Arabidopsis thaliana: one gene and its partner. The protein of the gene in region 1 interacts with the protein of each later gene in a biochemical or structural test. Each region holds a gene or a part of one and is shown on either strand. Other genes may lie near its edges. The genes, in order: mSFC1 and TPR7.

The links.
Region 2: the proteins of mSFC1 (region 1) and TPR7 form a complex in vitro, tested with the Arabidopsis thaliana proteins (one study listed by BioGRID).

What each region holds. Positions count from the first base shown.
Region 1 is NC_003076.8:142,548-147,082, reverse strand, and holds mSFC1 (Mitochondrial substrate carrier family protein), read left to right. Parts: upstream 1-2,219; 5' UTR 2,220-2,521; coding exon 2,522-2,911; intron 2,912-3,303; coding exon 3,304-3,843; 3' UTR 3,844-4,028; downstream 4,029-4,535. Other genes in the region: AT5G01350 (UvrABC system C protein), read left to right, coding at 172-251, 905-966, 1,055-1,113, 1,201-1,218. UniProt on the Arabidopsis thaliana protein: May transport cytoplasmic succinate, derived from fatty acid oxidation, into the mitochondrial matrix in exchange of fumarate during lipid mobilization in seed germination.
Region 2 is NC_003076.8:7,271,341-7,277,333, forward strand, and holds TPR7 (Tetratricopeptide repeat (TPR)-like superfamily protein), read left to right. Parts: upstream 1-1,730; 5' UTR 1,731-2,054; coding exon 2,055-2,150; intron 2,151-2,262; coding exon 2,263-2,493; intron 2,494-2,629; coding exon 2,630-2,686; intron 2,687-2,800; coding exon 2,801-2,929; intron 2,930-3,115; coding exon 3,116-3,193; intron 3,194-3,314; coding exon 3,315-3,385; intron 3,386-3,507; coding exon 3,508-3,557; intron 3,558-3,697; coding exon 3,698-3,845; intron 3,846-4,002; coding exon 4,003-4,516; intron 4,517-4,606; coding exon 4,607-4,750; intron 4,751-4,831; coding exon 4,832-4,978; 3' UTR 4,979-5,239; downstream 5,240-5,993. UniProt on the Arabidopsis thaliana protein: Plays a role in protein import into the endoplasmic reticulum (ER). May function as chaperone docking protein during post-translational protein translocation into the ER. Chaperone receptor mediating Hsp70-dependent protein targeting to chloroplasts.

The DNA of each region.
Region 1 (4,535 bases):
TTGATTCATCTGAGGTTTTATCAATTGTTGTTTGATTTTGTTTGTAAAGCTGTGATTTTTCGAGTTTCTGTCTCTTATTTTCCTGTTGGATTTAGTTTTCTCTAGAAATTGTTGCGATTTGGTGGATAATTATTGACATTAGGGTTTCGTTTTTGATAGGAAAGAGCGAGAATGGCGGGAGGAGGAAACTTTATTGCGAGAGTGATCTCATACGTTGCGAACGAGTTCATAGTTAATGGTTTGGCAAACAGGTACTTTCATTCCTTATAACGATTTAGGGTTTGTACTTTTTAATGATGAATTGGGTAGATATCAAAAAGTAAGCTTCTTTCTCTGGCTGATTGGATTGGAAATATGTTCCTTATCGGCTCGTTCAATATTGAAGCAAGATTAATCTCAACTTCAGCTGGTTTGCTACGTAATTTACCATACGCTGCAGCGTAGGAAGTTTGAGACACTTTTTTTTTTTCTTTGTGATAAAAAAAAAGTTTGGCTTTAGTTTTGGAATTGTTATAGTTTAGGTTCTACATTTTTTGGTGTTTGCAATTTGTACATTTCTTTTTGGCTTTGCGCAAAGCTATTCGCTGATTTTTAAGTGAACATTTTGTCCTGAGTTTTATTCAAATTTGTTTTTAGATAACTCAGGTTTTACTTTGTTTAGGATTGTCGGTTTTTCATTATGTTGTTTTTTGGGGTGTGGATTACTGCCGGTGATGATTTTCGTAGGCTTGTCCTGATTAAAGACATGACGTTAAACGTGAAGCTAAGAGACTGAGGCTGTTTATTGTTTTGTTTTTGTTTGATTCCTTTTTATTTGTCTGATTGATAAGATTCTTTAGTAGTCTTAGTGACTCCCTGGACATTCGCTAATGGATGTCTAATTGTTTATATTCTGTTATGGCAGCCATGCTTTCCAGAGATTTGCTGTGAGGACTTCAAAGAGAATAGAAAACCTCTCTAAAATGGGTTAGCATCTTCATACTTTAGCTCAATAATGATTGGTCTGCTTGTTGTAACCCACAATCTTATTAAAAAGTGGATGTTTGTTTTCCAGCTGCAGAGAACAGGGAGAAAGTCGCTCAGCAAATGGAAGAATTTGCCAAGAACATTGACGTGAGTTTTTATGCATACAATCTTTCATTGATTCTACAAAACATATATTGACATTTAAGACTAAACAACTTTGCTTTTTTTTTGCAGTCCACGAAGAAACCCTGATCATTCTAGTGTGGAATCTTAAAACCTCAGTAAATCACATGGGTCAGCTCAAGTAGGGAGGTCTGTTTATCTTTGTATAAAGAATGTTAAAAAGTAATAAGCTTGTGGATTAAACAACCAGTGATCTTTTGGTGCTGTTTCTCTTCTCTTAAACCCAACTCTTCCGGAGTGACTAACCACTGTATGAAGGAATTTCTATCGTCTTTTGCTTCCTACTTATTTGTAGAGCACATTTATTGATTCTTTTCGTTTTGGGCTGTGGCTTTGATTTTAAATATGTAAATTACGGGCCCGTTTTGAAACAGACTTGTGGTGCTGTGGATGTCTCTTGTGTATAGAATTAATGTCTATAATCGTTTCTGTATCGGCCCAATAGTCCAATCATCTACTGTCCAATCGGCCCAATATACTAATATAGGATATAATAGGATTCGATTAAAGTCAAATATGTTTTTCACAGCTCTTATTTATTTAGGACAATGCATTTCTTTTTCCCAAAGCTTAATCACTCTTTCCTAAACTCTCCACTCATGCTTCCATTGTTATATACTACTGTCTCCCAGAGCTAACACAATAGTGTCTCATTTGAACATAAGCATATATTCATATCAGCTCTAGAAAAACAAAAATTGAATAATAAAATCTGGAACCCGAGTGTCGTCAAAATTGTCCCTAGAAAAAGAAAAAAGAAACGCGTAACAACAACATTCTAAACCAAAGAAGAGGACAAAGCGAAAAAGGCAATGAAAAGGGTAATAATCAATGGCTATTGGCCTTGCGAAACTAAAAACAATGACCAAGCATAGTCATTTGGTTAGGCATTTACGACCGTTGAATAAGACATCAAATCAAAGATGGTCCCTTTTAATAAGAGGCCCAAATCACATCTACCATTTTTATGGTGATGAAATCGATTTACGCCAAACTTACCTTGGTTGTTGAAACTTGAAAGGTGTTTGATCACTACTATCGTGGTTTGAAGATGTAAAAGTATTTTCATTTTTTGATTGAATATGCATATTTATTTTAAATAAAACCCACTATTATGAGAATATTGTGCCAATGACATCTCTAAAAGAAAAAAAAAAAGGTCACTTTCTTTCTCACACTTTAAGGATACAACAAACAATCTCAATTTCTTTTTGTTATCTTTTTCTTTCTTTCTAAAGCAAACATTTTTGGAAAATAACAAAAGAATAAATAGCAGAGAGTCTGTAACGAGAAGAAGGACGAATATCTCTCTCTCTCTTTCTCTCTGCTTCCTTCTCGATTTCTGATTCGCTCACCGGCCGAGGAATCAGATATGGCGACGAGAACGGAATCGAAGAAGCAGATTCCGCCGTACATGAAAGCAGTCTCAGGCTCACTAGGCGGAGTGGTCGAGGCTTGTTGTCTCCAACCAATCGACGTAATCAAAACGCGTCTCCAGCTAGATCGCGTCGGCGCTTACAAAGGAATCGCTCACTGTGGTTCGAAGGTGGTTCGCACCGAAGGAGTTCGTGCTCTCTGGAAAGGCTTAACACCGTTCGCTACTCATCTCACGCTTAAGTACACGCTTCGGATGGGATCCAACGCCATGTTTCAAACCGCCTTTAAGGATTCCGAGACCGGAAAGGTCAGCAATCGTGGCCGTTTTCTTTCCGGATTCGGTGCCGGTGTTCTTGAAGCTCTCGCCATTGTTACACCCTTTGAGGTAAGTCTTGTTGCCTTTTCGAGACAATGAAATCACATGGCTTCTCTAATATTTTATTAGATTATGAATCGATTTAAAACTATAGTTTAATCATCAGAGTGTTAGTTGAGTCAAAGATTTGGTGTAATTGAAATTGTTAGATTATTCTTGCACCAGAAAATCATCTCTGTTCATCAATTATTTAGTATATTTTAGTCAAAGAGATAAAAAATGATTTGTTGAGATCTGTTTTGATGCTTTTGGCCAACGAATCTCTTTGGTCCCTATTGTTCATGGCAACTCTTGATTCGGAGAATCGTGTTCATCATAATCATAAGCATTTTGAGTCTGACACAGATTTTGCTTACATTTACTCAAGTAAAACACTGTTGAGTTCTCTGTTTTATCTCCAGGTGGTGAAAATTAGACTTCAGCAGCAGAAAGGATTGAGTCCTGAGCTTTTCAAGTACAAAGGACCAATACATTGTGCTAGAACCATCGTGAGAGAAGAAAGCATACTTGGTTTATGGTCAGGTGCAGCACCGACGGTTATGCGAAACGGAACCAACCAAGCTGTAATGTTCACAGCGAAAAACGCGTTTGACATACTCTTGTGGAACAAACACGAAGGTGACGGTAAAATCTTGCAGCCATGGCAGTCAATGATCTCAGGGTTTTTAGCTGGAACCGCAGGTCCGTTCTGCACAGGACCGTTTGATGTGGTGAAAACGAGGTTGATGGCTCAGAGCAGAGACAGTGAAGGTGGGATTAGATATAAAGGGATGGTTCATGCCATTAGAACGATTTATGCAGAGGAAGGATTAGTGGCCTTATGGAGAGGGTTATTGCCGAGGCTAATGAGGATTCCTCCAGGACAAGCCATTATGTGGGCTGTTGCTGATCAAGTCACTGGTCTTTATGAGATGAGATATCTTCGGAATGCTCCTTTATAGGCAGAGACACTTTTTGAAATTCAGTGTTTCTAGTTGGTGTATTTCTGAAAATTCTTGTTAGGATTTTGATTTGATCAAGAAAAATAAACCTAATCGCACATTTTATAACGATGTTACTCTATAATCAAATTTTGGGAGTTCCATTTTGTTGTTGTCTGTAAGACTCTGACTAAATAAGTTTTACTACAAAGCATAGCAAAATTACGCTTAAAAACGTAAAAAGTGAATACCACTGATTTATCATTTATATACTATAAGGCCCAAAATTGGCAACAGTGTCAGGCAAATTCAGTTTGTCACTCTTAAAACTGTCACATCCATATTAGTTTGGGCTGGGGTCATTTTGTTATGGGCCACATTTGGAACATATAGGCCCACAGTTTTCAACCGCCTTCGCCAATTCCCTTATATATACTATTAACGCCAACGCAACTTTAGGGCTTTCATCAAAACCCTAGTTAGCCGCCGCCATCTTTACCATCATCATCATCGCAACCTCTCCTTTATATAGACGCTTCTTTTGGCTGTTGTCATCTATCTTCCTCTAGTTAATTCTTTGAAAATATTTTTTTGTTTGCTCGGTTAAAAAGTTTTGTGCAATTTGTTCCTAATGAGGATATTTATCGAAAGCTATGGATCTGTTTATCAGTTCCATATGATGCTATATTGTCATAGTTACTCTGATGGGAAAT
Region 2 (5,993 bases), 7.1 Mb from region 1:
AGCAATCGTACACAACTTGCTGCTGTGAAAGAGAGAAAGAGAAGTACCAGTGACAAGTGGCATGCCACGTGGGCCGGCGGTTTAGGACCCAATCAGAGTGAAACTGCCACGTGAGATCCTCTCCACGTCCCGACAACCATCAAAATTCAAAGCCTTCTTCTTTCTGTTTCCTCCATCATGCTCTTTAACTCATTTTTTCCCTAGCATATCAATTTTAAAAAAATAGTTTGCAATTTACGGCAATAAAATGTGGGCAACAAAAACAAAACTGAATATTTACATTCGTTTTCATTGTACAATAGAGGGTACATTCAAAAAATACAACTCACTCATTATCCTAGATTGCTTTGCCATATAATAGTAGAATACGTAAGAATGTGTCTACGATGTATTCTAAAGGATAACAAGGGCTATGTGAATTATAAAATCAAGGCTATATATGTGTATGCATATTTTGGTTCGTGTAAACATGTTAAAAAGTTGCTTTGTTGTAATCTATTTAGAAGCACATGCATGTTGTAATCTAGCTTCGAGAGATGTTGCACAACATGTATCAGAATGCTTTAGCAATATTGCTTTATTAATTATAAGTTGAAGATATTGTTTCCTTCTTGTTTGTTATATGATATAACTTTATTAATCCATTGGTTTCATTGTGACCAAGAAGAAGAGGTTTGCTAGAATTTCCTCGTTCTCGCTGCAATAGTACTTAGTGATTAGTTAATTGATAATCATAAATCATATCAACATTCACTTCTCTCAGACTGCTATCATTTAGTGAATCATAATCTCTGCTAATATTGAAAAATTGGGAGACGAGAGATAGATGAGAGTTGTAGCTAGCTTTAGTCAAAGTGGTCCTCTTCTAATGTGACTATACCACCGTTTCCATTCTTTCAAACATTGAAACATTTATGCTGCGGTGGAGAGAAATAAACATTTCAGAAAAATTAATTGATAGATGTACTCGTCGATGAAACTATATCGAAACAATATTGAAAAAAGTATTACCAAACACAACTTATATGTCACTAAAACTCGTCTTTTTTCTTTGTATGGTCAAAACACTAAAACTCGTTCAACAACTGAAAAGATTGTCGTATTGAAATAAAATTCTTTGCCCGAATAGTTGTACATATGTATTTTTTTGTTAAGATCATTTTGATATTTAAGATACTAAAAATTCTGCAGAAGACATGCATATTTTAAAGTTTAATAAATGGATTACTTTAGAGATTGAGTCTATGAAACTGAATACTAAACATTTTTGGATTCCAACAAATATATTATGGCTCTGAATGGTAATCAAAACCGCACTTAAAACCGCACCGCAACAGTACTGTAACAGTATTAAAATCTCTACATATTCATATGTATCTATATATTTTCGTTACTATTTGAACCGCACCGTACTTCTCCCGCACCGCAAAACGCAATCACCATTCGGAGCTTATATCATGGAGATGTAGCTGGGCAAACATATGATATCGATATCCAGACCCTAAAGAATTTTAAAATATCAAAAAATTATTTGTACCCTCAAACAAATTTAAATTGAATTTTATTGACACTTTAACACGTGTAACAGTTAAATTGGACGACTCTTTCTAAAACGAAATAAAAAAGAGTTTAACAAGAGATTCGTTTCAGTTTAAGAAGAAAAAAAACACGAGATTAGTCTTCCAACATGGACAAGGACATGACAATTTGCACGTAATCATATAGTTACGTTAATCAATACAATTACGTAAATTAATTTATTATGGCACGTCACAGCATCATCGTAGATCAAGGGTAAAACAGTCATTCTCCATCATCCAGGCATATTCCGGTCGGTGAATTGAGGAGGTTGAGCGATAAATTTTCCAATTCGATTCTATATTATTGGAAACTACTTTCGGGTCGGCAAAACAATTCTCCTTCGATTTTCCGATTCTCACAAACTCAATCTCGATCCAGATTCCGAGCTTATCCTTCTCTGGCGAATTTCGATTTTCTGTGTTTCCGATCTGATTACAGAGAACCACATCGAAGCTTCGAGAAAAAAAAACACGATGTTTAACGGGTTAATGGATCCTGAGATGATTCGGCTCGCTCAAGATCAGATGAGTCGTATGACTCCTGCTGATTTCGCTAGGATCCAACAACAGGTTTCGTTATTTTTCCTGATTCGAATTATTCGATCGATTCTGAGGAGAATTTGTTTGATTTGATTTGATTATGGCTTTGTATGATGAATTTATACCATTGTTTATTATACAGATGATGTCAAATCCAGATTTGATGAATATGGCAACAGAGAGTATGAAGAACATGAGGCCTGAAGATTTGAAACAAGCTGCGGAACAGCTTAAGCATACTCGGCCTGAAGATATGGCTGAGATTAGCGAGAAGATGGCTAAAGCTTCCCCTGAAGATATTGCAGCTATGCGTGCTCATGCTGATGCTCAATTTACTTATCAGATCAATGCAGCTCAGATGCTTAAAAAACAGGTAACAATTGACTTCCTGAGAGAAGTTTTCTATTGAATTTTGCTTTCCTGATTATAAAGTAAGGAACAAGAATGGCTTCAGCAAGTGGACCTTTGTGTAATTTGATGTTAATCTCATTTTCTACTACGTTTGGCAGGGAAACGAGCTTCATAGCCGAGGAAATTTCAGCGATGCCGCAGAGAAATACTTGCGTGTAAGTCTGCAGACGTATCTCATTTGTCATGCTACTTGACAAGAAGAGTTTTATTTGTAACCTGATATGCGATTCTTTTCTACTTGTTTACAATGCTCTTGGACCATATCTCAGGCGAAGAACAATCTGAAAGAGATTCCATCTTCTAAAGGTGGAGCAATTTTGTTGGCTTGTTCTCTCAATCTAATGTCGTGTTATTTGAAGACGAATCAGCATGAAGAGTGCATAAAGGAAGGTTCTGAGGTATATTCTTTATGCTCTTAATTTTCTGAAAACTCATAGATGAAAACATTTTTAGGAAAAAGAGAGATGGCAATCTTTTGGCTTCTTTTTTGTAGATGTAACACATGATGTCATACAGCGTTTTATGATCTATTCAAAACTGTTTCGACATTCTTCTGATAAATTTACATTCTTACATTATTTCAGGTTTTGGGATATGATGCAAGGAATGTCAAAGCCCTATACAGAAGGGGTCAAGCTTACAGAGATTTGGGCTTGTTTGAAGTGAGTTCTTCTGTTGCTTATGGAACTTTCTTGAGATTCCTTGTCGATATATATGTTTGTACTGTAGATATGTCCTGACTATATGTTTGCTCAATGCTCATTCACTCTCTTAAACTATAAGGATGCCGTCTCTGATCTAAGCAAGGCCCATGAAGTTTCCCCAGAAGATGAGACAATTGCCGATGTGTTAAGGTATGGATTTTTATATTCATTACTGGTAATGTCATACTTTTCAGTTCTGCTTATCTCAGAGGTTTTGATATTAACATTGAAAAAATAACTTTTGACTTGAAGTATTATCTTTTCTGATGCAGAGATGTTAAGGAAAGATTGGCTGTCGAGGGACCTGGCAAGGCATCAAGAGGTATAATATTATTCCTTATGATTTATTCGAAAGAATTCAGTGTATTATGTCAGACCAGACGTTTCTTTACTACATCAATGATATGCTTCGTCCATGAATATGGAAACGAACTGAAAAATGTTATGTTGTTTGGTTATTAGGTGTGGTGATTGAAGACATAACTGAAGAAAATAATGTTACTTCCGGAGAGAATAAAAAACCGTCAAAAGAGGCTAATGGTCATGCTCAGGGCGTAAAGACTGATGTTGATGGATTGCAAGCTCTCAGAGATAATCCAGAAGCAATCAGGTTCGACACCTTTCCAAACATTAGTGTTTGATGTGTTGTTTCATCTTTTTGTCTCCTAATCTTGAAGACAAATATAATCTAAAGCATCCTTTTTCTGCTACATTTGGCACGATTAGTATGATTTTCTAATTGTTTTTATTCTTTCTATGGCCTGCAGAACTTTCCAGAATTTCATTTCAAAAACTGATCCCGATACACTTGCTGCTCTAAGCGGAGGCAAAGCTGGAGACATGTCACCGGACATGTTCAAAACTGCGTCAAGTATGATAGGCAAAATGTCACCTGAAGAGATTCAAAAAATGGTTCAAACAGCCTCTTCGTTTAAAGGAGATAACCCTTTCGCCCCGACTGCGCCATCTACCGAAAACGGTTTTACACCCACACCTGACATGCTTAAACTTGCATCTGATATGATGGGTAAGATGTCACCAGAAGAGCGTGAGAGGATGTTTAACATGGCATCGTCTTTGAAAGCAAACGCTCCAGCTTCAACATCATACGGCAATGCAGAAGCATCTGAACCACGGGAAAGTTTAGGAGCGAGTGGGAGTTCTTCGGGAAATTCCTTTGTGGCTCCAAGAAGCGGTTTCGAACCAAGCATCCCTTCTGCTCCGCCTGCTGACTTACAGGAACAGATGAGAAACCAAATGAAAGATCCAGCGATGCGACAGGTTTGATCATTTTCGGTTTATGTTTTACCAATTTAGTCAACATAATGTGATTGTTGATGTTCATATAGTAGTTTCTCTGTATATTGGTAGATGTTCACGTCTATGATAAAGAACATGAACCCTGAGATGATGGCTAGCATGAGCGAACAATTTGGAATGAAGCTTTCTCAAGAAGACGCTGCAAAAGCTCAGCAAGCCATGGCTTCTCTTTCTCCCGACGCCTTGGAGAAAATGGTACGAATTCGGTTTAGTAAAACCAAAAGAACATTCAAAGTTGATTGTATAGTTGTCTCAATTGTAAACACGTTGTTGCAGATGCGATGGGCGGATCGGGCTCAAACCGGGATGGAGAAAGCGAAGAAAGCAAAGAAGTGGTTGTTCGGAAAAGGCGGATTGATCTTTGCAATATTAATGCTCGTTTTAGCAATGGTCCTTCACCGTCTCGGCTATATTGGAAACTAGAGGAAACAACGGTATCTTAAGGCTTAATCCTTCGTGAAGATAAAACCAGTCTTCGGTGGGTTCGTTTAGTTTGTAAAACTGTAACATCGTTTTATCTTCTTTTTCTTTCCTCTAACTCTCAGCTTTTTGTTAGTCCACTTGTGTCTAAATTTCTTTACACTTTCTTCTGTAGTGAATTTTAAATTAGAGAAAATACGAATATTTCCTTATATTCGTTATTTTATAAACATAATTATGCTTCTGGTAGAGCGCCTCTACAAGAAAATTGGTTATTTGCGTTGGGAGATTCTTTTAGCAAATAGAAAAGACCATTTCTAATGGTTGTCTCTATTTTTCTTTATAAATATAGAAGGAAAAATAGAGATTTTTATTTTCTATTTTTATATATAGAGAAAAAAAATAAAGATCTCTATAATAGAGGTAAGAATAAAGATGAGTTAGAGTAAAATAGAGGCAAAAATAAAGTTTAAAGACAAAAATAAAGATGAGTTGGAGATGTTCTAAAGAGAAAAGTTCGAGTAAAAAATTTTTTTTTCGCAATCCAACGTTTGCAAATTTTGCGAGGAGAAATTTTGAAATAAGTATATAAAATCATCTTAAACTTTATTAAATTCATAGATATTAAAAAAATAAAAAAACTTCATTAAATTTTAAATTATATTTTTTTTTGTGCACCCAAAATTTAGATAATTTAATTATTTTAATATACGACTGAATACACATTCTTCAAAAGTAAAAAATAAAGAAAAAACTTAGAAGGATGAAGTACAAGAGAAGGAAACACGTGTCTTAATCTGGGGCCCAGCTAAATCAATTCTTCGTTAAAATGTCTTTAATTAAAAAAATAGAAGAAATCGAACGTCGTGAGAGGGAGGGAGGGAGAGAGAGTCAATAGAGACCACGCGCAGAGACAAAAGAGACCAAAAGAAAATTAAAGAGTCTTTGTCATTGTCTTCCTTCTTCTTCCTTTTTCTCTCCCCCCCCCCATTATCTTCGGCGAATCATGAATCTAGGG